2 linked regions of the Sus scrofa genome follow. The protein of the gene in region 1 purifies or fractionates together with the protein of each later gene. This does not show direct contact. Links are inferred from orthologs where the notes say so. Each region holds a gene or a part of one and is shown on either strand. Other genes may lie near its edges.

Region 1 (15,306 bases):
AGATGTGGTTCCTTCTCTCAAGCAGTTGCCCCTTTTTTCCACTTTGCATTTCTCTCTTCTCCATTCATGAAAGGACTTTGCAGCAAACACTTGCACTTTCTCACCTTGACCTGCTCAGTTTCACTCAGTGGAAAAGCAGACACAGCAATCAGACACCTTGAGTGCAAATTCTCATTTTGCCATTTTCCAAATGAACTTAAAGCAGCAATTTAGGCTTGATACTTTAGTTAACTCATGAGTCAAACTGAGATAGCAATATTATTTACCTCTCCAAGTTTTGAGAAAATTAGGGATAGCAAAGACAAGAGTGCTTGGTAACAAGCAATGACCTTCAGTAAATGGTAGCCATTAATATGATCTGTGGTTACCTCCATCATGTCCTTGTACAGATAGAATGTTACCTGATATCCACCTATCACAAAATTTATTTGGACTTCCCTGAGCCCATCAAGAGCAGGGAGGACATCTGAGACAGGAGACAGTAGAAGGTAATAGAGAACTCTTCTTTATCTACGCTCACTCTCCAGCCAATTGTATCCAGACCTATGATTTCAAATATCCTTACTTAACTAATGAGACCCAACATTATATCAGGTCTGATACCTTCTCTGAACACAAGATTTGTATATTGGGTTTCCTATTTGACATCTTCATGTGAATGTCGGATAGTCACATCAAACCCTAAAACAAAACTCTTAATTTTTCTCTCATAAACGTTCTCCTCTCTCAAACTTTCCCATTTCAATAAATGGCCATTCCATTCTTCCACTTGTTTGGTTTAAAATCTTAGAATCATCTTTGACTTCTGTTTCTCTCACATGCCAGAAATATATTTCCCAATCCTTACATAAAATGTACACAGAGTGGAGTTCTCATTGTGGCTCAGTGGGTTAAGAATCCAGCAGAGTGTCCATAAGGATACAGGCCTCCATCAGTGGGTTAAGGATCTGTCATTGCTCCAAGCTGCAGCGCAGGTCACAGGTGTGGCTCAGGTCTGGTGTTGCTGTGGCTATGGCATAGGCCAGCAGCTATAGCTCTGACTTGACCCCTAGCCCCGGGAACTTCCATATATGCAGGTACAGCCTTAACAAAGAAAAAAAATGTACACAGAGTATAGCTTCTGTTAACCAGCTCCTGCCACCATCCCTCATGCTGCCATCCTCTCTTTGGGATTTCTGCACTAGCCCCTGACTAGTTGTCTCCTTACCACTGTTGCACTATTGCACTTGATACTTTGCATAATAAAACAGAAGTCGGGTCAAATCACTTCTCCACTCAAAGCCTTCCAATGGCTTTCCATCTCATTAGAAGAAAAAGGCCTTCACAGCCCCTGGATCCCTCTTCTGCCATTCCTTGGCTGGCTTTGTGCCCGTCAACTTTTATTTCTAGAATATAGCACCCTTGTATTGGTCTCAGTTCTTTTATACTTGATATTCCCTCTGCTTGAAATATTCCTTCTTCCAAAATTTGCCCATTCATCCTGCCACTTCATTTTCCTGCTGTGGGTCACTTTAGCTGAGCAGCCTCTTCTAAAAGCCCTATTTAAAATAATATACATGCCCAAACTCTCCCCACCTTATTTCACTTAAGCTTGGCACCTGTCATTTACCTGACTTGCTAGCAGCTTGGTATGGTCATATGCCCAAATTCTGGCCAATTGAATATGAGTGGAAGTGTTAAGTAAACTACCAGTTCAAGTCCTGAAAGAGAAGACCTAAGTCCTCTATTTCACCTCCTTTCTGGCCCAGTGGCTGGAACCTGAATGTGATGGCAGGAGCTAGAAAAGCATCTTAGACCACCATGTATAAGTTACGCATTGAGCTGCTAGAACAATCTGTGTCCTTGATCCCTTATCAGTTCTGGAATGCTTACAAATTTGAATGGCCATGTAAGAGAATAACTTTTACATTGTTTAAGGCTTTTTTTTTTTTTTTTTAAATATTGTCTTCTTTTCAGAAATCAAACTTTAGCCTAATACATACATATTTTTTGAAAGTCCATCTGCCCTCCCAACCCCCAGGGACAATACATTTAAGGATTGACCTGGAATGTAGATTCTGTGAGAGTAGGGGCTTGATTTGGTTTACTGTATACAGCTTCTTTTTTTTTTCTTTTTGTCTTTTTATGGCCACATCCATGGCATATGGAAGTTCCCAGTCTAGGGGTCCAATCAGAGGGGCAGCTGCCTGCCTACATCACAGCCACAGCAGCAGGGGATCCAAGCTGTGTCTGTGGCCTATATCACAGCTTACCGCTGCTCATGGCAACGTGGGATCCTTAATCCACTGAGCGCCAGGGATTGAACTCACATCCTCAGGGGTACTAATTGGGTTCATTACTGCTGAGCCATGATGGGAACTCCTTTAAACAGCTTCTTGAATGGTGCCTGGCACACTAAGCTTTCAATAAATGTTTGTTGAATGAATGAATAGCAAAATCATCAACATAGTGCGAAGCCTTGAACACTGCTCTGAGGAAGCACATGGCTGATCAGTATAAGTAAGTGATTGGTACAGCAATGTGCTCTGTGTGTGGTTGGTTTTCTATTCTGACTAATCACAAAGGCAGGATACAACCTGCTATTTTCATTATCTGAGAGGCATAATACTTGTAAGATGGTTGTGTGTTGCTTTTGTAATTTAAATGAAGACTCACAAGTAAAGTTCATTGTTGTAATGAAATCAGGTCACAGAGTCATGGAAAACTGTGGCAAGGTTCACACTTATGAGGAAAGGTCACACATCACATGCTAAGCACAGATGGAGAAAAGGAGCTTGTGTGCTGAGCTCTGGAGATGTGTGGCTAAGATGTGCATCTGTGTGGATGGCAAAAACTGATAGCTGGAAAAACTACAGACAAAGAATTGCACAAATTAAGTCAAAATGAAACAGAAACATATCACAGGGTACTAGCAAGATGCTTGGGGGTAAATGCTGCAGACATAAAGCCACTGAATTCCTGGGTGAGTAAGAATACAAAAAAGAGTTACGGTGCCAGGATAATATTTTTGGTATCAAAATATATTTTTCATGCTATTACATTTGTTTTGAATATTTTAATTACATAGATCAGCTAATGTAAACATCTTAAAACATGGTGGCTTTAAAAATACAGTAATAAGATCCTGTTGGTCTGGAATTAAACCACCTTAATTTAAAAATGTCCTATTTCCTGAATGATGAAAGTTGTAAAGGTGTAGGCTATCTTGCCATACCACACCCCCAAGTGTAATATTGCTGAAATATTTAAAACAAGTTAAGATTTGTTTAGTCATTTTATAATACACATATAAATTCTGCTAACAGTTACTGATATGAAGTTTTTGTTGAGTAATTAGCTAGAAAGTTGAAGAGAAATTTCTTAATGATGTGCCTCTTTGCTTTAAAATTTTTCAGTAAGAGAGTAATTTCTCCTTTCTAGAAACATTTATATTCAAATGTTTTATATTCAAAGAATAAGGACAGCTTTTAGATTAGGACAAAGTACTACAAACTAGTAACAATAGTTACTTCTTTGTCCTTACCTCATTCTTGTGTCTAACTATTGCTCGCATTTTGGTGAGACCTCTGATCTGGTATACTGTATGACTAGAGGGTAGGGTAACGATACATGTGACCTTTGTATGGCAGCTCATTTATCTGAGTATTTCATGTTGAAGCCACAAGGTCGGATAGGTTCTGGAATATAGAAATGGAAGTGATCAAAATATGGCCTTCTTTAAAACTCCTTTGCTGTACTTTACTGGAAGAAGTTTATGGCACAGGTGCCCACTTTTGATGACTTTTTTTTTTTTCTTTTTTTGGTCTTTTTGTCTTTTCTAGGGCCTCACCCGTGGCAAATGGAGGTTCCCAGGCTAGGGGTCCAATCGGAGCTGTAGCAGCCAGCCTACGCCAGAACCACATCTGCGATCTATACCACAGCTCACCACAACGCTGGATCCTTAACCCACTGAGCAAGGCCAGGGATTGAACCTGCAAGCTCATGGTTCCTAGTTGGATTCGTTAACCACTGAGCCACCATGGGAACTCCTGATGACTCTTATCATGATATGCAAATCAAGTCATTTATGCACAGAAATACCTTATAAATTACAAGGAGGTAAACAAATTCATGCATTATTATTATAATTGCGATAATAACAATTTAGGAATTTCTGTTATGAAAGAAGGCAGCATGGAGTAGGGTATAAGAATTTCAGACTAGAAGCCCTGGGCCCTATGAACTGGAGAGAGGATGGGCTCTCCTTTGGGAAGGGAAGGAATAAGGTCATTTTGAGGGAAACTAAGTCTGGGGCCCCAGATTTGGAGATTACCATATTAAGAATCAGTGTAGTTGGTAAATCCTCACACCCTGGATGAGTGGTTTGATTTTATAGTGTTTGCTGCCTGGACAGGACCCACCATGGTGACACAGTGTTAATCTTTAAAAATGAGCTAAGCCAATACATTTGTTTCATTGTGTGGCTCAGATAATGAACCTTAGTTTTACTGAGATAGCTTACTAATTGAAGAGGATTATGCTTAGTGACTTACATATGTAATTAATCAGTGCTTAAATATATTGAAGGAAGATACAATGTTTTATTGGTTCTGGAAAGTCTTTGAAAAGGTGCTAGTTCTGCAGTAAATAAGCCTGAGCTTTAGAATCTTACTGAAAGGTAAGACTCACCCTCTTTGTGCTGTTTCCCTGAACACTCAACAGTGTTTTGGAAACCTGCAGTTATCTAAATTCCCATCAGGTGACATTGTTTAATCTGACATTCCCTCTTTCAAATATGAAAACAGCTCTAAGGACAAACCACCAAGATGCTTTGAACTCTCTTTCTGGTGCTTGGGAGGAGGTTTCCAATCTCACTCCCTTTCCTCTGATGATTTTCCTTGCCACCCCACCATCCCAATACATGGCTTGAAAGGGCCTCTGGCTTCTCCCCACCCTCTTTCAAGGGCTCATCAAAAAAAAAAAAAAAAAAAAAAAAAAAAAAAAAAAAAAAAAAAAAAAAAAAAAGGGCTCATCAGGGGCAGGAGCCTTTGACTTTGCTCAAAAAAAAAACACCTGTCTCATCACTGAGCTTATTAGGCCACCCAGAGTCCAGATGTGTAAAAGTTACTTGGAATGAACTTTTTTTTTAAGTATGAAAATTTAGGTCTCTGATACTGAGAGAAAAAGACTATTGCTTTAAAATAATGACTACACCAATTTCCAAATATTGTGATTAAAGTACGAAAACAGAACACCTCACCTAAAAAGGCTGTGAAAATGTTATTTTACTTTAAAGACAGGAATAACCGAAAGTAACAATAAAAAGGTTTCTTCTAGGCCTAATCTTAAGAGTAAGCTGCTTGTTATACACTAGGCTCATACAAAGGTCTTAGAAGACCCCAAGCCCTGATTTTGAGGACTTTAGAAAGATAAACGCATTTGTTTAAAAAAAAAAATGTGGCTTGCTTCCCTTTTTTTAAATAACCCCTTGCATTCCCTTTCTCATATTGTCACATCATCACTCATCTAAGTTACACTGTATAAACCGCCTTGATATGCTACACACATGCAAAAGTACACAAAGTGGATAAACTTGTACTGCCGATGCTGCCTTAGAAGTATGTATTTAGTAAACATTTAGTTACATTATTTTATTTTTGTGAAAAGCGAATTGATCGACCAAACCTTTCAAACAGACCCACCAGACGATAAATACCACCATATGTTTAATTCACTGTACATTTGGGCATAAACACTTCAATTACAGCTTTGTGTTTAGTATCAAAACCCTTTTCTTGTGTGCGTGTTTTCTGTACAGTTCCTGTGCTCTGGATTACATTTTGAGAATCGCTTATTACAGATAAAGCACCTTTCCAGGTACGCTTCCGAGAAACATATGTATTTATGCACACAAAGGTGCGTGCAGATCTTCTCACAAACACATGTCCATATGATGCCTGCGCCGTACTCTCCGCACACGCTCCCTGCGTGCGTTATGGCCCACCTGCCGCACCGCGCCGTCCGGGTGCCCGGGGGCCACGCCGGCCTACCCAGGAAAGTTTACCAGCAATGCCCCCCTCGCGACGGCGCGAGCATCCCCGCCCCCACAGGGCCTTGAGCCGCGCGGCCAACACCCAGGCCTCTCCGCACCCGGCCGCGCGCCGCGGTGGGGGCGGGGCGGTCCGGGCCCGGTGGCGCCTCGGGGCGCCTGCGGGTCTTTCTTTCTTTTTAAAAGGCTGCGCCGAACCCGCCCAGCCCCCCCAGCGCCACCGCCCCGGGCGGGCGGGGAGAGGAGCGGGGCCAGCAGAGGCCCCCCTAGCCGCGCCGCCACCGCCTCCCCGCGTCCGCGGCGCCCCTCCCCCGCCGGCCCCTCCCCGCGCGCCCGCCCGGCGCAGGCCGCTCGGGTTTGTTTTGCTGCGCGGCCGCCGCCGCCGCCGCCGCCGCCGCCGCCGCGGGCCTCGCGAGCTCATTTGTGCCTGGCTGGTCCCCATTCCTCTCTCCCCAGTGTTGAGTGTCTGAGCCGTTGGCTGCTCCGAACCGTTTGGCTCTTTCCCTTAGTAACAGCTTTTACCTTCTGCCTCAATTCCTCTCCCCGCTCGCGCCCTTCCCCCGCGCGCCGCCTCCCCCCGCCGCCGGCCGCGTGCGCCCCCGCCCCTCCCCCCGCGGCGGGAGCACCTCCGCTCGCCACCTGGGGACCCGCGCCGCGCTCCCCGCCCCCGCCCGCCCGGCGCCCATCCCCCGCGCCCTCCGCTTGCCGGGGTTATAATTGCCTCTCACCCCCCGGAGGGGTTATTTTGGGGGTGGTTGGAGGCGGCGGCGGCGGCGACGAGGGGAATTTCCTTGTGCCTCCATTCCCGGGAGGGGGGAGCGCGTCGGAGGCCACCGTTTCCAGGTAAGCGCCGGGGGCCGGACCCCGGGGTGGGGGCTGCGGGCCGGGGCGGGGGGCGCGGGCGGAGGTAGTTCGGGGGCGCCGGCCGGCGGGGGGATGGGCTCAAGTGGAACGTGCATTTTCAACTTGGCCCTTCGGGGAGCTGGGGGTTTGGTGGGGGAGGGAGAGAAAGGAAAGGCATTTAGGGTGCCCCATCCCCCCTTTTAGCTCTCTCAGGCTTCTTTGAAATGCTCACGTGCCTGCCCACCCCCTACCCTTTCCTGGTCCCGGGGGATCCTCACCCTTATTATGCTGTTGTCCCCGAAAATGTGCACCTCGGCCTTCTCCCCATCTTCCACCCTTCATCCGTTTACACCCCCTTTGTGTGTGAGTGTGTGTGTGTGTGTGTGTGTGTGTGTGTGTGTGTTGTATAGGGGGAGGCTTTCAGGAAGGAATGTGCAGCAAATTGAATCAAGGAGCCATCATGAGGCCGACTCCTTTATAGCCTATTTTTAGCAGGGGAGAGGGATCTCTACTGTGCGTGTTATTTTGTTAAACCTTAGGCAGCAATGGAAATCCGCTCCCCTCCCCCGGCGCGGCCCGGGCCCAGGCGCGGCGACCCCGGCCGGCGTGCGGGGGGCTGCGGGTGGCTGTTAGGGCCGTGCGTCCCGGGCGGGGGCGCGGGCGGGGGAGGGGCGCGCGGCGGCGGGGCCGCACTCCTGGACGTGTTTGTTTGTAACTTAGTGCTTTTTATCGTCTGGAGAAGATATTTGATAGAGCCACTTTGAAGTTGGGTTCAGAAGTGTAGAATTGGCAAAGTTATTGCCAGCTTCCTGGTAAGTTTTGGGTGGCTCAGAGTCACATTATTTTCTGACAGTGTAAAGGCCACGTTGTGAGGGTGGTTTCTTGGTAACTTCCTCTTTGCAACCGATGTCATTTTTTGAACAGAAACAGACTTTTATTTAAGTGAAATATTAATCTGAAATGGCAGTTCAAGGGAAGCCATGCATGTGTTAACGTGTTCAGTATTTTTGGAAGTTCCTAATTTGCTCAAACAGGCATCACTTTGCAGTGGCAACCGAGAATAAATTTAGGTTTGTGAAAATGGTGTTTCACGTGAAATTTTGGTTGTAATGGCTCTTAAAAAACCCTCCCGTTTTTAGGTTATCTAATAACATTGTCGAAAATAATTTGGTGATTAAAATTTACAAAAGTGTTGGAACCTAGTTTAAAACTTGCTCTTTCTCAGTGTCCGGAGTTTACTTAAAACCGTGTACTGTGCAGGCACCAAGGTGAAGAGTTTTAGTACATATGTGATTTTACAGTTGACTGAGGGAAGTTGACTATTGGCTTTCTTGTTTTCCAAACAAGACCCTTATGCTAATCTAAACAAGCTTGTTAATAAAATATGGTGGGTGAAATGATGGGTTATTTTTAGTCGGAATGGTTTGATTTCCCCTCCCCCATATAATCACCCCCCCTTCCCCCGTTTTTCTTAAAGACTCCTTTATCGGATATAAGGCCCTGGTGGTGTTTTCATTTACTTACCTAAAGAAATTGTAATATATATCTTGGTTACACATTGGAAGTACAATGGGTGACTTTTTTGTTTTCCCAATGTGGTTTATTTTCATTTTTGTTAAATAAGATCCATGTTGCTTGGTGTATTTTTGTAATCTTGACTTACTGGGACTGTATGTTCTCACCATTTATAACAAGTTTATAGTCTAGGGAAATAGGGCAGCTTTGTCTCCATGAAAACAGTGTGTAGGGTTGTATCGTGGGAGTTCATGGCAAGCAAGTTTCGGAAATTATCATTGAGCACGTTCTAGAAATAGTTAGCATTTACCTGTGGAGGAGGGGCAGCAGAAGGAGAATAGGCCTGAGAGTGGTTAGGCTCGTGATTCCTGTTTATACTTTTTGCTCTTAAATCAGGTTTTTCTGCTTCTTTGGAATATGATGTTTTGTCCATTTCTGCTGTCATGTACTGTGTGATATATGTAATCATAACCATTAAGTCCATACATAGATAATTACTATTTTTTGCCATTTGAGTAGTTAAAATCAGACCTAGAGGACAAAATACTAAGCTGTGTGGGGGATGAAAATAGTATGCACATTGAAAAAAGTTTTTTTTTTTTTTTATTGTTAAGGAACTTAATTAAGGGACTTACTAATGGCATAAAAATTGTTTCATAGCTCATCACCAGTTTATGATTTTTCTTCCAGCATATATCAACTTTGGTTATTAATATGGGAGACACCCTTGGTAAATGGAATGGCCCCTTTTGAAGGTTGTATTTTTTAATTGGTTGCTTCAAAGAAGTGTTAAATATTTAATAACTTTTACGTATTCTCAACATCTCAATATCAAATTAAGATTTGTCATGATTACTGTGATACATTCCTACCAAGAGATCACTGCTTCCTCTGTACTGGGGGCCTATCAAGCAGATGGGGTAGAAGCTTAACACACAGGGGTTACTGGTAAATAGAAATATGACTGATGGACCTTTTGAATGGCAACCTGTTGAATGAATAATCGGTTTTTATATGGCAGTGAAATATAAGTACCACTTTATCAAATAAGTAGCTGACAGGACTCCTCCTCCAATTTACTCCAGCAATTATTACTACAAAGAATTTTTGACTTGATGCATTTTGATGAAGTTAGTATAAATAATTTGTTGGGTTTGTTCAGTTTCTGTGTTATTTATATAAAAAGAATTGAGAAGAATGTGACTAGTAAGGAAGTCAGAGGAGAGGACGGCAAAAATATTGGCACTGTCTGGGACTTTGTATTTTTCTAGTACATAGAATTTGACTCATTTCATAAATGACATTTAAAGTATAAGTCAATGAAATGCAAAAGAAGAAAGCAGCTAACATTGAGACAGTTATAAATATACATAGTATTGAAGGGCTAAGGACCCCCCCCCCGGGGGGGGGGTGCTGTGTAGTAGAGAAATGGTAGTTCACTGATTTGGAGACCACCATGGCCCTATCTCCTGCTCTATCACCAACAGATACTTGAAGTTAAAAAAGAGAACAGAACAGAACAACCTGTGAAGGAGGTCATGCTGGAGAGGTTTGCTATTCACTGCCTCTGGAAATGGACTCCCTAAGAGTACAATTAATTGCCATGTTAACAGAGTCCAAGGAAAGGATTCTGCTTCAGCTCAGCTGTAAGAAAGGTGTGAGGTGCTTTCTATGTCATTTTTACCTCAGGCTAATCCTATGAAGTGGGTAGTATTGGGCTCTTTTTGTGGATTATTGAAACAGCAAGGTGCAGGTAAGTTAATTCATTTGTCCAAGGCCACAAAATGATCAAAGGAGCACTAGGATTCAAACCTAGGTGTGTCTGAGCCGTAGTCCATGTTTTTAGATGACTGAACTGGGCCAAAATTTCTCAGCTGTTTTGTCAGTCTTGTCTACAGTTATCCTTGCAAAAACTAGTGTTTTTTATTCAAATTTATAATTTTGTAGTTAGGGTCTCTACCAACTGGGTCAAATGATTGCATGGATAAATGAAATTTATATATGGGGCTCAAATGGCATTGGCTTAACTCTAGAACTGCTTAATAAGATGCAATCTTCTGGTCAACTGCTGTATTTCCTACATTAAGATTGACAGCAGTGCTGTAGCCTTTCCACATACTGTCAGCAGAAATAAGATGTGGTTCCATACGTACAATTAAGGAAAAGCAAATAAAAGTTCCTGAAAACTTGTAGGAGAAAACTCATAAAAGTCTTCTTGTGCAGCGTATCGATTCTGTCAGGGGTTCTTGAAGAGAACTGCTTGGTTTCAAACTTGGGCTCTGTCCCTTACTAGTTTTGTCACTCAAGGGGAGTAACACCCGCTGTGTCTCAGTTTCCTGCTCTGTGTAAAGGGACAGTCAACTTCTAGAGTTGAGAGGAATAAGAGAACTGTGTATGTAAATTGCTGAGAACAGAAGCTGACAAACAAGCATCATGGAAATGTAAGTTTGGAATGTTGATAAATTGGGTTGAAATTTGCTTTTTTGTATTACATTTTGTTTGTTATTTAAGTAGGGGCATAGTGTCAAAGAAGGTATTTGGCAGTTTTATTTCCTGAATTCTTAGGCAAAATAGTTGATACATGATCAGCATAATTTATTTACTTTTGAAGTGGTGATTGAAGGCTTACTTGAAACATTAGATTGGATTTTAATACTAAGTGGGAACATTACCAAGTTGGTGTAAGTACAGTAGTGGGTCTTTTCTGTGCCTTTGTTGCTATTCTGTCACTTGAGCTTGGACTTTTAAAATCTGAACCATTTGAAACATTTTCGAACTCTTTAAATAAAGAGATTTTATTTTTCTAGGCTGGGTCTGGCAGTACTTAGGATTTGCTTTTTAAATTGGAGTGATTAAGTAGGTTATTGTTTTCTCCTTCCTCATCCTTTCATCTGTGTTCTTGTTCTATATTTTCAGCTGCTGTCAAGACAGTTTTGCTTGGAGGTTCTTTCTGTTCCTCAGATATCTGTGAGCCTTGTCTTATTTTTCCTTCCCTTTTTTTTTTTTTTTTTTACCATTCTTAATTCAGCAGTAATGTTAACTACTACTAGAGTTCACTGTGTCAGGCCCATGATTGAGTACTTGTGGCAGTCCGATTATCTGGTATTCTGATGAATGATGAGGAAACCAAAGCTCAGATAGTAAGGGGTGTAGGGATGGATTTAGGCCTAGTGTGTCTGCCTTCTAGGCCAGTGTTCTTAACTAGCAGTCTTTTCCCAGTGAGTGAAGGAAGGCATTAAGGACTCGTTTGAGTTTTCTGGGTTATTGCATTACTTTCTAGTAGATTGCCCTGAGCATCCTTTCTTCTCTAACTAGTAACAGTATAATTTATTTAAAATATTGGTTTCATCATGTTAGTTCCCCTGTCTGAGAACCCATAATGGCTTCCCTTTCCCAACTGGATGTAGCTATTATGCTTTAAATCTGGCTTTTAAGGCTCCATAATACCTATTCAACTTTATTTCCCACTCTTCTCCAACTGGGATTCTTGCCTGCCTATCAAATACTGTAGTTTTGCCACACTCATTACTCCTCTGCTTTTGCACATGCTGTTCCTTCCCTTTGTCCATTTTATAGCCTAGTTTCTATCCTACTTCTTTCATGAAGTTTTTCTGAACATCCTGACTCAGGATATTTCTTCTCTGAGATTCATTGCGTTTAATGAATGCACAGATTCTGTAATTATTTATTAAGTATACGTCACATTGTCTAAACTACATGTTAAGTTTCTTGAAGGAAAGGCCCATTTTCCTTAAAGTATTTCACAGAATTCTTAACTTTTATATTATACTATCTTTATGATAAAATGGATTGTTTCTTTGAGGGCTCATGCTAAAATGAGAGTAGTGACAGTCCTCTTTCACTCTTGATGTGGAAGAAGCTTCTTTTTGAATTAGGCCTTCAGAGTTTAGTTGTACTATAGCCACATTTAACTGTTTGAATTTCGATGCTGCCACTGTTGACAAGGACGGAAAAAAAATCTAGTCAACATTTAGAGTGAAGTGAAAATGCTTAGTTTTATCTTCTTAATATTTCACCACAGTCCTGGTGAACAACGTAGTCCAGTTAGAAGTCATGTCTTGTGTTTATTTATGTGTTGTTATGAAACTTAAGATTCTGGATTTTATTTTTTTAATCCTCACGCTTTTTTGCTCATTATTTTCTCAGTAGTATGTCTAAATAAGATTGTTTTTAGCTCTCAGCTCTGACCGCATTGGAGTCCATTTGAGCCATTGCTATGAATATATTAAACATACATCTATCACACAGAATAATAAGTGGGTTTAGTCTACCAGAAGAGTGTCCTGTAGCCATCACTCTTCAGTATGTTTTTATGGTAAAGATGTGGCAGATTAGTTTCCAACAACTTGGGCAATTTATTCTAAAGGTAACTAATTTGGTATTATGTCCTTGAAATTTTTAATATTCAGAGTTTTAAAAGGTTTTTAGTATCAAACAAAGTGCGTTGGATGTTTCCCTGCTTGTAAGCTCTTAGATTCTTAACTCAGAAGTAATACAGTTGAACTATGAGGACCATGCTGAACGACCAAAAATTTTAGTTAAACTTAAAAAGAGTGTCCAGATTAATAAACGTATTTATGTAAAATGAACGGGGAAGGATAGGTATTGAATGTTTAAACCAAGGAGTTTGCCACCTGTTATCCTCTTTATAGAAAATTTCAGGAGATAGAATTTAAAAAAACAGAACATGGGTCAGAGATAGTCATCCCAGTATTTTAATAGAATAATTTGTCTTTATTTTCCTCTTTATAGATATTGAATGTTTAAACCAAGGAGTCTGCCACCTGTTTTCCTCTTTATCTATTGAAAATTTCAGGAGATAGAATTAAAAAAAAACAGAACAAGGGTCAGAGATGGTCATCCCAGTATCTTAATAGAATAATTCTTCTTTATATGAAATTGTATTTTGGATGTGCAAACTTTTTTTTTCCAACAAAGGAGATATTTTAAATTTTTAATTACTTTATAACAAAAAGTAAAGAATTTTTACTTTTTAAGAACTAGATATGAATCTACATCTTTATTTTCATTTTGTCTGAGATCAAAGTTGGTACCAGTGCGTGTGTGTGTTCTTTCTTTCTCTATTTCTCATAGTGTCCTTTTTAGCACACTGAATGATAGGCATTGTAACTTGGTTATTAAGTGGATGTTTGTGTTTTTGTTCTTACTGCTTATCTACTTGAATGGTGCGTTGCATTTTAACATCAATTCAGTATTAAGCAAATCAATTTTTGCCATTTTTCACAAAGCCATAGTTAACATTGGTCATTCATTTGGCATGTAGAAATGTGTGGGAGTTTCAGATAAAATGCTACCTAAAGTTTGTTCTTTCATTCTACCAATACTTATACAGTCAATTCCTGTGTAAAAATTCTGAGGTTTGTTATCTAATTTTTTTTTTTGAGAAATCTATGGAATATTTGCTTAGAGTTTTTAAAGAATGAAAATCTATAGCCTTACACAGACTAATAGGGAAATTTTGACATTAGTGTAAGAAATCACCTTGCCAGAGAAGTTCTTAATAGTATATTTTGGTGGTTACTTCAACTACTAGTAGAATACAATTTATGGGTTAGGGAGAGGTATTTTATGCTTTCTCCTTAATTTGAACAGACTAATTGGATAGAGCATATACTAATTTTGTTCCATTTCTGTTTTGGCGCTATCAGATGTCATTAACTGACAGTGTAAAGCATTTGGGTCATCTACTTTGGGTTTCTGAAATAAGGTAATGGGAATAGATAATGAATTTCCTTAATACCTTTTTTTTCTTTTTCTGTATAATTATTCTTTTATGGGATAGGATTTATCATTCCTCTGTGAATTTTTAGATGCTGTTTGTAGCCGTAGCTATGCCTTTGGACACCTTTTTATTTTAAAATGTAGTATGCTATATACTTAAAGAATTTTCAACCACTAAAGTGATGGATTTTCTCTAAATCACCTTTATCTGTCTTCCTTAGTAAACGGTATACATTTGTGAGATCCTATCCTGGGATTAGGAGTGCAGTTTTACTGTATCAGGGAAATAGTTTTCCTATTCTTCTGCAAGAACTTATAGACCCTCAGGGGGATTGCTTATTTGACCTTGGATTTCCTTATGTCCTGCTAGCAGAAGTCACCAGTTTTAACTACTGAGGGAGATGTTTTGTGTGAATTGTTTCTTTACAGATTTGTTTAGCTTTGATGTTTATGATTTCCTTGTTAGTGTTTATGGGATCTTGTCAGAAATACATTTAAATGAAAAATGTTGAGGCAGAAGATATTGTATAGTCTTCTGCCATTTTAGTTTAAAAAGAGGGAGAGGAAAGGACACACAGGATGTGTGTGTATGCTCAGATGACTCCAGGAAGATAACACAGCAGACTAGTAACAGTGCTTTTGGGGAGTTGAGGTGGGGAGATCATGTGGTCTGGTGTGGGATAAATTTATTTCGTGGGTGATCTTTTGAACTGTGTGAATCTTACTATGTTAGTATTACTATTTCAAAAAAAGTAACAATTATGAAAAAAGCAAGACATTCAGTTAAGAATTCTTAATCTTTCTTTTTTTTTTTTTTTTAGGACCACACCCGTGGCATGTGGAGGTTCTCAGGCTAGGGGTCCAATTGGAGCTGTAGCTGCCGGCGTATACCACAGCCATAGCAACGTAGGATCTGAGCCATGTCTGCGACCTACACACCTACACCACAGCTCATGGCAATTCTAGATTCTTAACCCACTGAGTGAGGCCAGGGATTGAACCTGTATCTTTATGGATGTTAGTTGGGTGCTTAAGCTGCTAAGCCACAATGGGAGCTCCCAGTCAGTTCTTGTTTTTTTGTTTTTTTGTTTTTTTGGCCCCGCCTGTGGCATGCAGAAGATGTGGAAGTTCCTGGGCCAGAGATCAAATTCATGTCA
Region 2 (15,389 bases), on another chromosome or scaffold:
TGAAGTTCTTCATCAATGATTGTAGATTTGTTTTCTCTCTTAGTTCTGTCTGAAGTTCTATTTTTATTTTTAAATTTAATTTTTTTTTTTTTGTCTTTTAGCACCTCAGCATATGGAGGTTCCCAGGCTAGGGGTCAAATCGGAGCTGGAGCTGCCGGCCTTCACCACATCCACAGCCACGTGGGGTCCGAGCTGTGTCTGCAGCTACCACAGTTCATGGCAATGCCAGATCCTTAACCCTCAATTCACTTTTAAAAAATTTTTAATATATTTTTTAATGGCTGCATTTGCAGCATATGGATGTTCCTGGACCGGGGATTGAATCTAAGCCAACACCAGATCCTTTGACCCACTTGGCTAGGCTGGAGATTGGACCCACACCTGTGCTGCTGCCCCAGCTGCCACAGTCAGATTTAACCCACTGTGCCACAGTGGGAATGTCTGTTCACTTTTTAGCCCTTTTCTTGAATTTTTATGGTTGCTCTAAAGGTTACAATATGTATTTTATCCTTTTGTTATAAGCTCTACAAGAAAATGTTATTTTTTGCTTTCAATGATGCTTTTTTAAGGAAAAAGAAGAAATGTATAGTCTTTTATATTTACCCACATAGTTACCATTTCCAGTGACCATCATTCTTTCCAATAGATTAGTTTCCATCTGGTATCATTTTCCTTCAGCCTAAAGAACTTCGTTTCTGTTCTTATGTAATACAGTTTTGTGAGTGTCAGATATTCTGGTTTTGTTCATATGAGAATATCTTTATTTTCCCTTTAATTTTGAAGAATATTTTTTCTGGCCTTAGAATTCTGGTTGACTAGTATTTTTTTCCTTATAGCACTTTATTTATTTATTTTGTCTTTTTGTCTTTTTTTAAGGCCACTTCCAAGGCACATGGAGGTTCCCAGGCTAGGGGTCGAATTGGAGCTGTAGCCTCCAGCCTACACCAGAGCCATAACAACTCGGAATCCGAGCCACATCTGTGACCTACACCACAGCTCTCAGCAACGCCAGATCCTTAACCCACTGAGCACGGCCAGGGATTGAACCCACAACCTCATGGTTCCTAGTTGGATTCATTAACCACTGAGCCATGACGGGAACCCTCCTTTAGCACTTTAAAGATGTTATTCCATTATCTTGTCTTGTGGCCTCCATTGTTTGTCATGACAAGCTGCCATAATTTGTATTATTGATCCACTATATGTAAAATATCATTTTTTCCCTCTTGTTGTTTTTAATATTTCCTCTTTGTCCTTGGATTTTAGCAGTTATTGATCATGTCTCTAGGTGGTGGTGTCTTTGTATCTTACTCGGAGTTTTCTTAGTTCCTTGTATCTGTAAGTTTCTAGGTTCCCCCAATTATTTCCTCAGTTTTTTGCCTCACTTTCTGTCTGTTTTTTTCTTTTGGAACTCCAGTTATACATATGATAGGTAGCTTAAATTTATCCACAGTTTTATTCATTTTTCTTCCAGTATTTTTTCTCTCCATTCTTCATATTTGGTCATTTCTGTTCAGTCTTCATGTTTATTGTTAACCCTTCTACTACCTCCATTGTTAAGCTGACCTAGTAAATTTTCCATTTCAAATACTGTATTTCTCAGTTCTAGAATTTTCATTTAGCTGTTTTGTGTTGTTTGTTTTAAGTTTTTATTTCTCTGTTGAGATTTCCTATCCACTCAGCCTTAGTATTTTTTTTTTGGCCACACTCAGGGCATGCAGGGAGTGACCCAAGCTACAGCAGTGACAACACCTGAGCCTTCACTCGCTGTGCCTCCAGGGGACTCCCAACTTTAAGTCTTGGAGAATATAACTTTTCTAAAGTCTTTTTTTCTGCTGGTTCCAGCAGCTTAGCTGTTTGGGGTCAGTTTCTTTTGACTCCTCTTCCTCTTGACTATGGGTACCATTTCTTATTTCTTTGCAAATAAAGTGATTTTTGATATTTACTGGATATTTTGTAGATGCATAGTTTAGATTCTCTGAATTGTGTTAACCTCATCTGAAGAATGTCGGTCGTTTTTTGGATTTTTTTTTTTTTTTTTGGTAGGTAGTTAACTTGCTAGGCTCAGACTCCAAACTCTGCTTCCTCCACAGCAGGCAGTAGCTAAAATTGCTTACTTCCTTCAGCTGTCCAACTGTTGTTTTTCACCGAGAACCTTGGCTTCTCTCCTGGGTATGCACAGTTCAGAAGTCAACCAAGGATTTTTAGATTAGGAGCATCCTCTTCTGTTACTTTCTTATTTCTGCTGGTTGCCTTCTTTCTTTGCACCCGACCCCCGCCGCCAGCCCCACCTTCCAGCGTCTCTGTCACACTCAACTGTCTCACTCCTCAGTCCACAAGGAATTCTGCATCTTGTCTCACAAGGATTCAGGCATGCCCTAAGGCAAAGCAGAGCCAAAACAAAACCATAAAGCTGCAGATTTAACCCTGTGCAGTTCACTTCTTTCAGTGATTAACTTCTCTCCTTTTTCTGCATGATGTTTGTTGCTCTTCAGTGCCTCATTCCTTTTTCCAGTTACTGCCCCTTCATTCCTTCCCAAAGGTTAGTGACCATGGTCAGGTCTTGAAACACTAGTTTAGTAGCACTTGCTATTGAACTTGGTCTAAATGGGATCATGTAGACCATTCAGTAGAATTTTCTGTGATGATGAATATGTTCTATTTCTATACTAATATGGTTGCCAAGAGTCATGCATGGCCATTAAGCATCTGAAATCTGGTTTAACTGAGGAACCGACTCCTCTAAGTTTTATTTTATTTTTTTATCTTTTTAGGGCCACACCTGCAGTGTATGAAGCTTCCAAGGCTAGAGGTCGAATTGGAGCTATAGCTGCCAGCCTACACCACATCCACAGCAGTGTGGGATTCCGAGCCACATATGCAACCTACACCATAGCTCACGGCAACGCCGGATCCTTAACCCACTGAGTGAGGCCAGGGATCGAACCTTCGTCCTCATGGATGCATGTCAGATTTGTTTCTGCTGAGCCATGAATTCTTTTGGGTCTGGATGCCTTCAGTCAACACTGTTTTACAGATTCATCTGATTGTTAGCACATGGCTTTGGTTTCCAGGACCTGTATAATCATTTTACATACACACCACAGTTTATTCATTGTTTATAGACATTCGGTTGGCTGCTACAAGTGGTGCTGCTGGGAGCAGTTTCACACATCTCTTGGTGCACATCTGTCCATGCTTCGCGGGATACATACTGAGGCATTGACTTGCTTATGTTCACTTTAGGTGGTTATATGTGGTTATGTGGTGTAGGTTGCATATGTGGTTTATTTTTTCCAAGGTGGTTGTTCCCATTTCTTTCACTCCATTAGTAGATAGGAGTTCCCATTGATTTACATCTTTTGTAGAATTATTGGTCTTTTTAAAAAAAAATTTTGGAGTTCCCTTGTGGCTCCATGCTAACAAACATGATTGGCATCCATGGGGATGCACGTTTGATCCCTGGTCTTGCTTACTGGGTTGGGGATCCTGCATTGCCATGAGCTTCGGTATGGGTCATGGACAAGGCTTGGATCTGGTGTGGCTGTGGTGCAGGCTGGTGGCTGTAGCTCCAATTTGACCCCTAGCCTGGGAATTTTCATATGCCAAGAGTGCAGTCCTAAAATGCAGTAAAAAAAACAAAAACAACAACAAAACCCAACATTCCTCACCATTCTGCAGTGTTGCCTTTGTTATCAGCCAAGATTCCATATAAGCATGGGTCTGTTTCCTGAGTCATATATGCTGTTCTCTTGGTGTCTTCATCTATTCTTGCACTGGTACCACATTCTTAGTTATTGTAACTTTATAATAAGTTTTCATAAAAATAAATCTTGTCACCTTTTTCTTCTTTGCAAAGAGCATCTTGACTTTTTAGTGTATTTCTTCATCCCTTTGAATTCATCTTAGGGCAACTCACTGACCTAAATCTAGCTTTAACTAACACAGTGTGTAGTAGCTTGTGATATTTTAAATTGCAGACTATACCACACTAGTGCCCAGCTCAGAGGAAGGTGTAGCTGTATCTTAGAGGAATTATTGGCACCAGTGAACCATGCAGGCTCTGGGTGACTGTGGACAGGATGGGATGAGATAAATCTGGGGTGAGAAGCTAGCGAAGACCAATAGATGGACACCTAGCTCCACCTTCTTGGACATCATCATTCTCAGGAGAGGGAAAGAAGGTTTTAGGAACCCAGGAATGTCTGTCTTGCTCACTGTTGTATGCCTGTGCCTGGCATACAGTGGGTGTTCAGTAAATATTTGTTCAGTGAATGCATGTGTCTATAATAAATCCTTCTCAGAAGACATGATACAGCCATGAGTTTCACCCTTTGCCTTAGATACCAGAAAAGCTTTATGAAAACTGAATTTTTAAACTGCCTTTGAGATTTTGTCATTTCATGGTTTTGCCTTTTTATTTCTATAGTCTTATGTGATTGCCTTGAGTCTTTTTGAAAATACATAGTTGGGTGTTTTTGTTTTTTTGGTTTTTTTTTTTTTTTTTTTTCATGATCAATCTAGTGATTACCTGTCAGTGATTATGGAAGTTTGTTGACTTTCTGTATCCCTAAATGGAAATAATTTACAAGTTTCCTAGCATAGTAGGCTCATACATATTAGAATTCAGTTTGCGATTATATCCAGCTTCCCTTATTTCAGAAGAGTCAGAAGAAACTGCTAAGTTATCCTCAGTTTCTCCAATTTGTATTTCCTCTCCTTCCTGAAAATATTCGTTGATGATGCTTACATAAAGCATATCTTTATTTGGTTTCTGCTCTAAATATTAAACTTCTCTTTCAATGCAGATGTGGAATTAGAAGAAGCAATTAGAAGAAGTCTTGAGGAGATGTAATTAAAGATATTACCACACAACATCAAGTGGCCTTGAAGAGACTCAGGATAATGAATTTTTGAGTTTTCTAAAGGAGACTAGAAATCTACTAGTGCAGATGTATTTGAAAACACGCTTTTTTTGCTTTCATATGTTCAAAATATGATATTGCTTTGTATTTTTGTGCTACTTTGCAAAAATGTATAGAGGAATAGAATACATGTTCATGCAAATACAAATCATGTGTTCTAAAACAGGTGTCACCGTTTCCCAGTTAATGTTGAAGTCATATATTTAGGTTAAAGGAATTAAAAAAAAGAAAAGAAAAGCTCTTGACTATTGTTTACATGTTTCCCAAATAGAGTTTGTTTTTTAATTTTATTTGTACTGTACAGATAATTCTAGCTTATTTTTTTAGGAGTGAAAATGAATATAAATAAAGCTGCCATAGCTCACTTTTTCTGTAAAGCCTACGTCTGATGTGGCACTAATACCTAATGCCTTTGAGATCTTCGATTATGATTATTGGAAGAGAGTGATGGAAGTGACCGTGGAAACATGAAGTTCCCCAGCAGTGTTCTCTGTGGGTGTCAGACGGGCAGTCCTGCTTTAATTAGAGCAGCACATCGCTGGGATGTAGAAAAGGAACACCTCATTTCTTAGAAAGTATTAAAAAGAAACTTCTCCATTCCCTTTACCTGCTTAGACTTTTATGTGACTTGTCTTATCTCCTATTTAAAGGGAACGATGTAAAAATATTTGCATAGAATTAGACTTATTTTTAATAATATTGGTCCTTTTATATGTATATTTGTGTAATCATAGTATTCTTCAGATAATAATGTTGAAGGTCTGCTCAGGAGTAATCTTCCTTTACCCTTTAAAATTTCTGTTTCATATGGAAGTATCTTCATTTTAGTTATTCATTAAATTGTCAGTTTCCTACAGCTGGTATCACATACTTAATTTGCAAGTGTTGAGTTCCCACTGTGCTAATAACAATATTCCATAATTAGATGACTCAGAAGGGGCTTGTCATACTATCTTGTGCATATGTTTCATGTTACTTGAACAGAAATGTCATCTCTAAAGATTTCGAGTTAGTAATTACTTACCAAATGTAAAATTTTCTCTAAGTATAAATTTTTCTTTAAGAAAAAAAAATCGGGGCTAGAACTTTGTTTTTTCTCTACAACTAGATAATTTAGTGTGAAATACTGTTACTGTTTTTTCGGTTCACATTGGAAACCAATTTGTTTGTATTTCTTAAGATGTCAGTTCTAGTTCCCTGGTGGCTCAGTAGGTTAAGGATCTGGTGTTGTCACTGCTGTAGCTCGGGTTCAGTCCCTGGCCCCAGAATTCCACCCCACCCTGCCCCGATGTCTGTCCTACCTCCTTGAAGTTTTTTTAAAAGTAGACATCATAGCTTGAGAATGTACCAGTCATTCTTCCAGAGCGACCACATTGTGGTTTTGTTTGTTAAAGGACTTAAGCAAGGCTTTGGGAGGGAATCGCTGGGCCACACCTTGAGGACATCTGCAGGAGCGCACTCAGTAGTGAGCCTCAGAAAGGATGTCTAGCAAGAAGATGCTCCGGCAGATGCCGCAGAGCAGTATCACAGCAGCAGGCGGGATGCAGCCCGTGTTCTGGTAGGAGGCTTCTGAGGTGTGAATGGTTGAGAGGAACTGAGGCTTTTTCTATGACAGGAGTGGACTGTTTCACCATGACCCTTAAAATACGGTAATTGGGTTGTTTAACGTTTTAATTAAGAATAGTCACTGACTGTATAATCTACTTACTAAGCAATTAAAAATCATTTTAAAATTACTTCATACTTTGTACTTAATTTAGCTATAAGGAGGAGAGGTAGTTGGTAGATGTTACAAAAAGTTTTGTGCATTATTATCAAGAGTAAATGTTGCTAACATTGACAGTGATGCTTATATTTTGGGTTTTTTTCCCACATTTTATTGTGATTCCCTTTTTTTCTTTTAAAAATGTTTTTATTGTGATTCCTTCTTTTTATACCTGAATAACAACTTCCCCAAAGGGATGATGGACATGTTTATTCTAAGAAGGATATATAGATAATGTATTGGTAGCATCTGCTCAGTGGTATCATTGATTCTCTTAAATAAAAATTCCTCAGTTAAGAAGGTGGGGTTTTTTTTTTGGATCCTTGGTGTCCTACCAGCCCAGCCCTTTGTCCTATTTCTTACCCGCCTGCTGGCCTGGCTCTCCTCTCTGACATCGCTGGGGAACAAGACACGGGTTTGTTCTGGGCTCCCTTGGCAAGTGCAGCTCTGATACTCAGCAGGCTGGGGCTCAATTTAAAGAGCATCATTTTTTTCTTTTCAATTTCTTTCAAATCATTTATTTGTTCACCCACTCACAAAGTATTCTTGGCTACTTACCATGTGTTCGCCACTGTTCTCGGCACTTGAGATCCCCCCCCAACACACACACACACAAAGCCCCCACTCTGGAGCACTCGGGGAGGGGGTTGGATAGAACCTCGAATGATAAGATAGTGAAACAGGGAAGGGGGGAGAGCATGGGGCTGGGCAGGGGGAGGCAGTTATTTCCAACAGGGTGGTCGGGAAGGACCCTGACCAGGTGAAGCTCAGGAGACCTGAAGGTGGGCGAGCTCTAGGAAGAGGGTGAAAAGGTCTAGAAGAGCAGGATGAGCTCAGAGGGCAATGCAAGGTGGCATCCTTAGAGACCTTTTCTGAAGACCCTGGAAAGGAGGAGCCCTGAAGGTTTCTGAGAGTAAGTGGTGTGACCTGCTGTACTTGGACTGCTGTGGGGCTGTGTTGAGTGCAAACAGCTGAGAGCAGAAGCAGGGGTGCAAGTGGGAGGGCAGGCCACTGGTCCAGGAGGGAAGGCAGGCTGGGTGCACCCTGAAGGGGAGGGGACTGGGTCTCTGGCATGAGAGTCCAGGGTGATGCTGAAGTCACCTGATAGACTTCCATTCTCCAAAAGTGGAAGGATTCTTTGTTCGTGTCATGATATGAGAGAATATACTTAATGATGTCAAATATTCCCCTCCAGCAACAATTCATCGACATGGAGTCTAAGTTCAGAAAAATTGCCATCCAGCCTTAAGGGCTTCATCTCTGTTCACTTATTTACATGGCTTTGATCTCAGATTAAAGGTTGTGATCCAGCTTTAAAGTGTTATTATCTCCACTTGAAGTGCCCTGTACCTTCTCATTCTTGCAGCGTGAAGCAGCGAGCTCCCCACAACATTCACTCCACTTGTACTGACCTTCATGGTGTCTGACCTCGTGGCCTACGGCATCTTTTCCTAACAGGAGATTTAAATAAGTTGGGTGTGAAAGGGTCTTAACCATTTCACTTAAATTCCAGCAAATAACTTTTGAACAGAAGAAAGTCATTGAAAATAAAGGAAGTTCACCTTCCTACGTCCCGCTGGGTGGTAAGAGGGGCGCCTTTTCTCGCGCGCTCTATTAGCCTCGTTCTCATCTCCGGAGAGGGCCTGGTGGCCAGGCAGGTCGGGCGACACGGCCCCGGCGGCCCGGCTCTGCGCGCGGGAGGCGGGAGGGCGGGCTGGGCTGGGCCGGGCCGGGCCGGGGGCGCGGGCTCCGCCCTGGGGGCGGTGTTCCAGGCGAAGAGCGGGCCCGACGCCACGTGAGCCGCCCCGCAGGCCGCCCGGCTTCCTCCTACCGCCCGCGCGCGGTCAGCCAGCGCCCCGCGCCCCTGGGTTCCCCTGGCGTCTGGAGCCCCGGTTCCCTGGCCCCCAGTCGTCCGGACCCCAGTCCTTGCTCGACCACCCGCGCCCCCCGACCCCCAGTCCCCTGGCCCCCAGTCCCCACCCAGACCGCGGATCCCCAGCCCGGGCGCGGGCGGCGCGTCAGAGAGAGGCGTGCGGCGCGGTGACGGCGGTGACCTCGGGCCTCCGGGCGCAGATGGCTCAGGCGAGGATCAGCGCCAAGGCCAACGAGGGCCGCTTCTGCCGCTCCTCGTCCATGGCCGACCGCTCCAGCCGCCTGCTGGAGAGCCTGGACCAGCTGGAGCTCAGGTGTGCGGGGCGGCGGGCGGATCCGGGCGCGGTCGGACCCCGGCCCTGGGGCACTCGCTAGCCTGTCCGTCCGGCGGTCCCTTGGCCCCGCGTCCCGGCGGCCGCGCTCTTGCCTGCGCGGGAGCGGGGGAAGCCGAGGAGGTGAAGGGTAGGGACGCCGCTGGCGGTTGGGGCTGGGCTGACACCGCGGGTCCGCGGAGCTTCCAGAACCTTCTGCACGCCAGGGGTTCGGTCGGGTCTCCCTGAGATGCTCTTTCTGAACGGGTGGCGGTCTAATGGTCCCAAGGTCAGTGATCCATTCTTTTGCTTCCAACACTTAAGAGCAATATCTCAGAATAAAGCTTCGGGGCCCCATCGGATCCCAAGGCGGGGCGGGGCGAGGGCACTTGTGGGGCGCCCGCCCGGTCCCCTCTGCGTTTTTCCCGGCGCCGGGCTCCCCCCACCAAGAGCCGCTCCCACCTTCCAAGTGCAGTTTGCTGGCCCGAAACCACAGGGGTCACCTGTTTCCACTCTTAGCTGATTCAGGTTTTAATAAGGAATCAACGTGTGGCTTGAAATAAAGCCGCGTGAGGGGGCCCGAGCTGCGCTGTTGGGGGGCGTGCTGAGCACCTGGGGGTGTGGGGGGGCCTCTAGCGCCGCCCCGGCCCCACGGAGGGGACTTGAGGGCGGGGTAGATGGGCGAGCGCACGTTTTGATAGAAGGTCGCTGCTGGTCGGGAGAGCAGATGTGTCCTCAATGGTTTTAGTGCTTTTCTGCGTGTGGGAAGATGCAAGAATCTGGGTTCATTAAATTTTCCTGAAAATCTCTCTCTGTGGGCCTGTTCCGCCAGTTTTCCCAGAGCGCAGAGCCTCCTCATTCCTGCTCGTCTGAATTCTTTCCAGGCTGTGCTGTCAGTTCCTGTAGAACCGGGTGGCCAGGGACTCTCCTAGCGGCAGATGGGGTGGTAGGCTCCTTGGGATGCCTAAAGCCTATGCAAGAAGTTTTGGACCTACTTTTCTCTTTCCACAATGTATGAAAACGTTGATGTACTTCTCGTAAAGGTTCAGGTCACAAAAGCTACTGTATAAATTGTGTGCAAGTGTAGTTTTATGAAAATCTTAACTGGGGCACCCACAACTCCCTTAAACCTCCGCATTTTTTTCCATAGTTTGCACCAGGTTCTGGATGAGCAAAGGAGTAGGTAAGGTAGACATTTCAAGAATTGCCTTTACCTCCCTTGATTAATACACCAAAACGGGAGGGGTCTTATGACTCATAAAGTACACTAATAACCAAATGAGGCATTTCTTCATTATTTATCATGATTAACTGAATGAGGCATTTATTATTTATCAATTAGCATTAAGCAAGTGAGGCCTATATTAATCATTTTAAAATTTAGTATTTATCATTTGAAATTTGTTATTGATGATGATGGCAAGAAACAATGTCTTCTCGGAAAATAAATTCAGAATGTATACCTGTATGTGTGATTGGGTCATCTTGCTGTACAGTAGAAAATTGACGGAACACTGTAAACCAGCTATAATGGAAGAAATATCATTATAAATGAAAAAAAAAAAAAGAAAATAAATTCTCCACCATCATGATTTTGTGGGTAGTAATGGAAACCAGAACCCAGACTGGTTCTGGGGTCCTGCTGGGAATGACACAGATGGAATAAGGGGAGAGCAGTGCTTCCCGTGGCTGGACCTGCTGAAGCCAGTGCTCCTGAATGTCGTGTGTTGTCCCCTTTCCAACCCCCGCCCCGGCAGACTGCCTTTTCTTTTTTCATCGCATCGCAAAGGGGTCTTGTCATCTTCCCGGGCTTTAGAACTTGGAGGGGCATGTTCTCAACCATTTCTGGGGTCTCCCCACCCCCACACCCCATCAGAAAGGAAGGGTTTCTTCTTCAGGGACCGTGGGGGATGTTGCCCCCGCCTCCTTCTTCAAGCTTGAGTGGTGGTCCTCAGACTTGAACTAGTGCCTCACGTACGAAAGCAGCCAAGTGCTCGTCTTTACCAGGAAGGCTTTGGTTTTGAATATTGTGTTCCAGCGATTGATGTGAAGCGAATTCTGATTACTGAGTACAAGCAATTAAATTGTATTTTGCCGAATTAACTCTTGAACTGAGGAGGAAAGGCTGATTAATGTGTGTCTAGTTGTTCATTTTAAGGACCTTCCCAGTAATTGTAGACTTTTGCGAGCTTTATTTCTTGCTTTTAGAAAAAGTAACGCTGAGTGAAAACTTAGGAAGCATTTGGGAAGGTGGGTAAAAACAGGAGTTTTTGAAACCATGTGAGCCATGGAGAGTGGAGTGCACTCTCAGAACCTAGAATCCTACCTAGAAGATCAAGTGGAAGAAGAATGCATGATTTTCCCAGGTCATTTTCTCTAATGGTTTAATTTCATATGAAGGATGACTAATAAGGAGTTCCCGTTGTGGCTCAGTACCCATGAGGATGTGGGTTCGATCCTCGGCCTTGGTCAGGAGGTTAAGGATACGGCCTTGCCGCAAGCTTTGGCTGGGGCGTAGGCCAGCAGCTGCAGCTCCCACTCATCCCTAGCCCAGGAATGTCCAAATGCCACAGGTGTGGCCCTTAAAAAAAAAGGATGACTAAACAGCATACTAGCTAGAGAGGAAATTACAGGTTGTACGTGGAAACTCGCTTTTACTGGCTTTGTCAGTTGTGGCAAAAACTGCTTCCGTCTGAAGCTAAAAAACAGATTTGTGCTAAATGCTCTAGGACCTGGTGTGTGAACTGGTGCCCGCGACGTCTGAGAAGCTTTAAGATGTTGGCAGCATTCTACAGACCAGTCAAGAATTTCCCTGGATTTCTAACACTTCTCCACACCGCTAGCCTTTCTTTTTTGACTCTAGCTCACCTCCTTTTTCGCTTCCTCCTAAAAAGGTGATGCCTTTCTCTCCGGGTTTTCATGACCAGTTCAGCTGGTGCCTGATTTTCCATTCGTCAGTGGCCCAAAACATGTTTCTTACGATTGTCACTGTTTTAGCAGCTACCGTGATTTATAAATACTGCACACTAACAGCTAGTTAGTGAATGACATGACCATGCAGGGCCCTGCCTTTGTGGAATTTACCATCCCCTCCATTCTGCATGTGGAAAAGTGAGGCTTGAGAGCTTAAATGACTTGTCCAAGGTCACACAGCTGGAATCCGGGAGACTGATATCTTCTGCCTGAATTTTCTTAGAGTTAAGTGTGTCGTATTTCAGGATGTAGGAAGAGTATGTGGATGAATGTATGATTTTACAGAAGGAGGTGAACTTTCCACTTAGACTGGTGTTTGGATGAATGAATATTGAACTGTGCCAGGGGTCAAGTGGCCCCTAAAGGTTCTGGAGGGTAACAGGTGTTTGGACGTGGGGTGTGTGGACACAGCAGAGGGGAAAAGGAACTGGCTGGGAGACCAGCTGTTCACAGATTTCCCCAAAGGGCTCCTAGCATGGCTCCTCCCCCGCCTGCCAGCCACTTGCAGTGGCTTCCGTGGCAGCCAGGGAGTAAAGGATCGGCGAGGGGGGGCACAGCTGAAAGTTTCCTGTCACGGTTCCGTGTGTGGCGTCCCAGGGGTCACAAAGCAAGCTGGCGCCATAGTTAGCATCTCTAAGAGCCTGTAATTAAAAAGATCCCTTGTCATAGACACTGTCATCTGAACCTTCCAGAACCCTTTGAGGCAGGAGAAGGACACCTATTATCTCTTTTAGGAGCCGGGGGATCCGGTCCAGGGGGATTGGAGGCCAGTCTGAGGCCACCCCACTAACAAGCCGCTCCTAATGCTAAACCCTGGTCCCATTTTTACCCCCCAGTGTCTCAGCCGCGAGTGTAATGCATTGTTTTGGTGATGACTCGGACGCCCTTCAGAAGCTGCACTTTGCCTGAAACGTACATGATCCTTGTAGCCTTCCTTGATACAAGAGTAAGAATAAGGTGGTCTAGCGGTTAAGGATCCCAGCCTTGTCACTGCTGTGGCACAGGTTCAGTCCTTGGCTTGGGAACTTCCTTGTGCCACAGGCTCAGCCAAAAACCCTCAGGAGTATTGAATAAGAAACAGGACTATGATTTCAAGAATTGTTTTAGAAATAATCATCTTTGAAAAAAGTCTGTTTACCATTTCTCCTCCTCCACTTTTTTGGGGGGGGGGTTGGGGGTGTCACCTGTGGAAGTTCCCAGGCCAGGGGTCGAATCAGAGCTGCAGCTGCTGGCCTACACCACAGCCACAGCAACACTGGATCCTTAACCCACTGAGTGGGGCCAGTGGTCAAACCCTAATCCTCATGGATACGAGTTGGGTTCTTAACCCACTGAGCCATGATGGGAACTCCCACCATTTCCCCTCCTTTTGATGAAAGCACAAATTCTTGCCATTTGGAAGCCCAAGTTCGTAGTGGTAAGTGTGTCATAAAAACCAGGAAGCTAGTGTTTGCGGCCTCAGCTCTGGGCACTTGATGCTGACAGTGGCCCCCATGGACCAGAATCCACGGATGCTCAAATCTGTAGAAAATGGTGTAGCAGTTGGTGCTCTGCATCCGTAAGTTCTGCATCCGAGTTACTCATAAATACATTTTTAGTTGATGCTTTCGGTCACTGCGTTAAACTCCACCTGCTTCACTCCATTCGGTCACAACCACTGTCACATGATCCGTATAGTGAAAGTGAGGAAGTTGAGGCAAAGAGAAACTACCCAAGGTCACCCAGCTAGTAGGTGGCAGCAGCACTGTCCTGAGTGGCAGGACTGAGGCCCTTGCGGTCCCTGCACTTGTGACCAGCCTGTGCAGTCAGTCACCTCCCAGCTCCTCCTCTCTCTGGTCCCCAGGCTGTGGGGACCCAGCGGTCCGCGCCGTGCACTTTTGTCCTAGGGACATTCTGACCATGGCCTGTCTTTGTTAAAGTTTAGTCCTGATTCCATGCGGAGAGTGTTCCAGGAGCACAGCCCAGGCCGCCCTTGGAGCGAGGATCAGTTCTTTCCCAATTTGGACATGCAGCTCTTCCAGGATCTGCTCATAAAAACAGAACCACCCTTCTCCGCCAAGAGCAGCGCTGTCAAGTGAGGTGTTGAGAACGTGAAGGGTAAAGAGAGGCAGTCTCACCCTTGTCTGAGCAGAGTTCCAGAAGACATAGCAGAGTGGCAAGTGGGAAATATTTGAAGATATATATTGGCTAACAATTTTCTAGAACTAATGGGAGGGACAAAAAGATGTATGTATGAGTTGATTTCGGAATACCAGTAGCTGATGAACAGTACAACTAGCACCCAAGCAAACTAAGTAGAGATGTAGGATTGACTTTTTTTAAAAAAAATAAAACCTTCATCCTGTGAATAGTCCATCCACTAGACCAGGGTAGGACTGACTGCCTGGGGCAGGGGAAGGAGGAAGTTGCTTAGGAAACAGTTCCTGCCAGAAGGATTGGGTTTTGAAAAAGGATCACCCAGGAGGCCTGGGTAGGGGAAGAGGGATGTCGCAGGACGAGGGGGCAGCAGAGGAAAGGGCCGTGATGCCAAAAGCTCTGGGAATCTTTGCATCGGGAAGGATGGCGTTTTACTGTTGCTGTGAGATGAAAAGGGTTTACACAAAATCATACATGAGAAGTCCTTTAGGACTTCCCATCGTGGCTCAGTGGCTAACCAACCCGACTAGGAACCATGAGGTTGTGGGTTTGATCCCTGGCCTCGCTCAAAGGGTTAAGGGTCTGGCATTGCCGTGAGCTGTGGTGTAGGTTGCAGACGCGGCTCGGATCCTGCATTGCCATGGCCCTGGCACAGGCCAGCAGCTACAGCTCCGACTGGACCCCTGGCCTGGGAACTGCCATATGCTGCGGGTGCGGCCCTAAAAAGACAAAAAAAAAAAAAGGAGAAGAAGAAGAAGTCCTTTACAAGATAGAAATCTGTGTGTTATGGAGAAAATGCCCTGGCAATTTCTAGCCATATGGGGGGAAAAAGTAAAACTTAAAAATTCCATCTCATTTCCTCTACATTTGGTCTCATTTAATGACAAAACATCTTCTGTGACAGATTTTTATATTTTTGTCTAAAGCGTCTCTTTTCAAACCACTTTCTTGTTAACAACCCATGAGCTTCGTGTTGAAACTTACGCTCATAAATGGGCCTCCTTCTGTAGAGTAACTCTCAGTTCTCTCTTTATCATCCTACATGTGCATACAGGCTCAGGAGGGCTGGAAAATTCATCTCTTCTGTCGGCATCTTCTCATTTACCAATCAAGTAATTCTTTGGTGCCATTGAAATGCTGGAGTCATGTTTTGTTTTTCATGAATGTCTCATTTTTGGTGCCAAGCTGACCCTTTTGGTGTGTGCCAGGCTCTAGAGTATGTGCCTGAGGTTCCCTAGGTTATATTAGAAGATTCCAGTTTCTATTCCCTAGTGTGTATTAAAGGGCACGAGTCTGTAATGAATGGGCTGGAACACAGCCTCATGCTGCGCTCTTACTGTTTGATAGACTATTGGTTTTGATTGCATTTTCCAGCTAAATTTGTCACATAAGATTCTTCCTCGCTCT

Evidence for each region.
Region 2: the proteins of TBL1XR1 (region 1) and BAG2 purify together in Homo sapiens (affinity purification with mass spectrometry; 3 studies listed by BioGRID and IntAct, with this or other methods). This does not show direct contact. The link is inferred for Sus scrofa from reciprocal best matches to the Homo sapiens genes TBL1XR1 and BAG2.

Annotation. Positions count from the first base shown.
Region 1 is NC_010455.5:115,479,513-115,494,818, reverse strand, and holds the start of TBL1XR1 (F-box-like/WD repeat-containing protein TBL1XR1), read left to right. Parts: upstream 1-6,590; 5' UTR 6,591-6,871; intron 6,872-7,149; exon of another isoform or gene 7,150-7,257; intron 7,258-7,521; exon of another isoform or gene 7,522-7,683; intron 7,684-7,703; exon of another isoform or gene 7,704-10,827; intron 10,828-15,306. UniProt on the Homo sapiens protein: F-box-like protein involved in the recruitment of the ubiquitin/19S proteasome complex to nuclear receptor-regulated transcription units. Plays an essential role in transcription activation mediated by nuclear receptors.
Region 2 is NC_010449.5:28,673,556-28,688,944, reverse strand, and holds the start of BAG2 (BAG family molecular chaperone regulator 2), read left to right. Parts: upstream 1-8,447; 5' UTR 8,448-8,763; coding exon 8,764-8,876; intron 8,877-9,013; exon of another isoform or gene 9,014-9,151; coding exon of another isoform or gene 9,152-9,162; intron 9,163-15,389. Other genes in the region: E3 SUMO-protein ligase ZNF451, read left to right, coding at 4,809-4,855. UniProt on the Homo sapiens protein: Co-chaperone for HSP70 and HSC70 chaperone proteins. Acts as a nucleotide-exchange factor (NEF) promoting the release of ADP from the HSP70 and HSC70 proteins thereby triggering client/substrate protein release.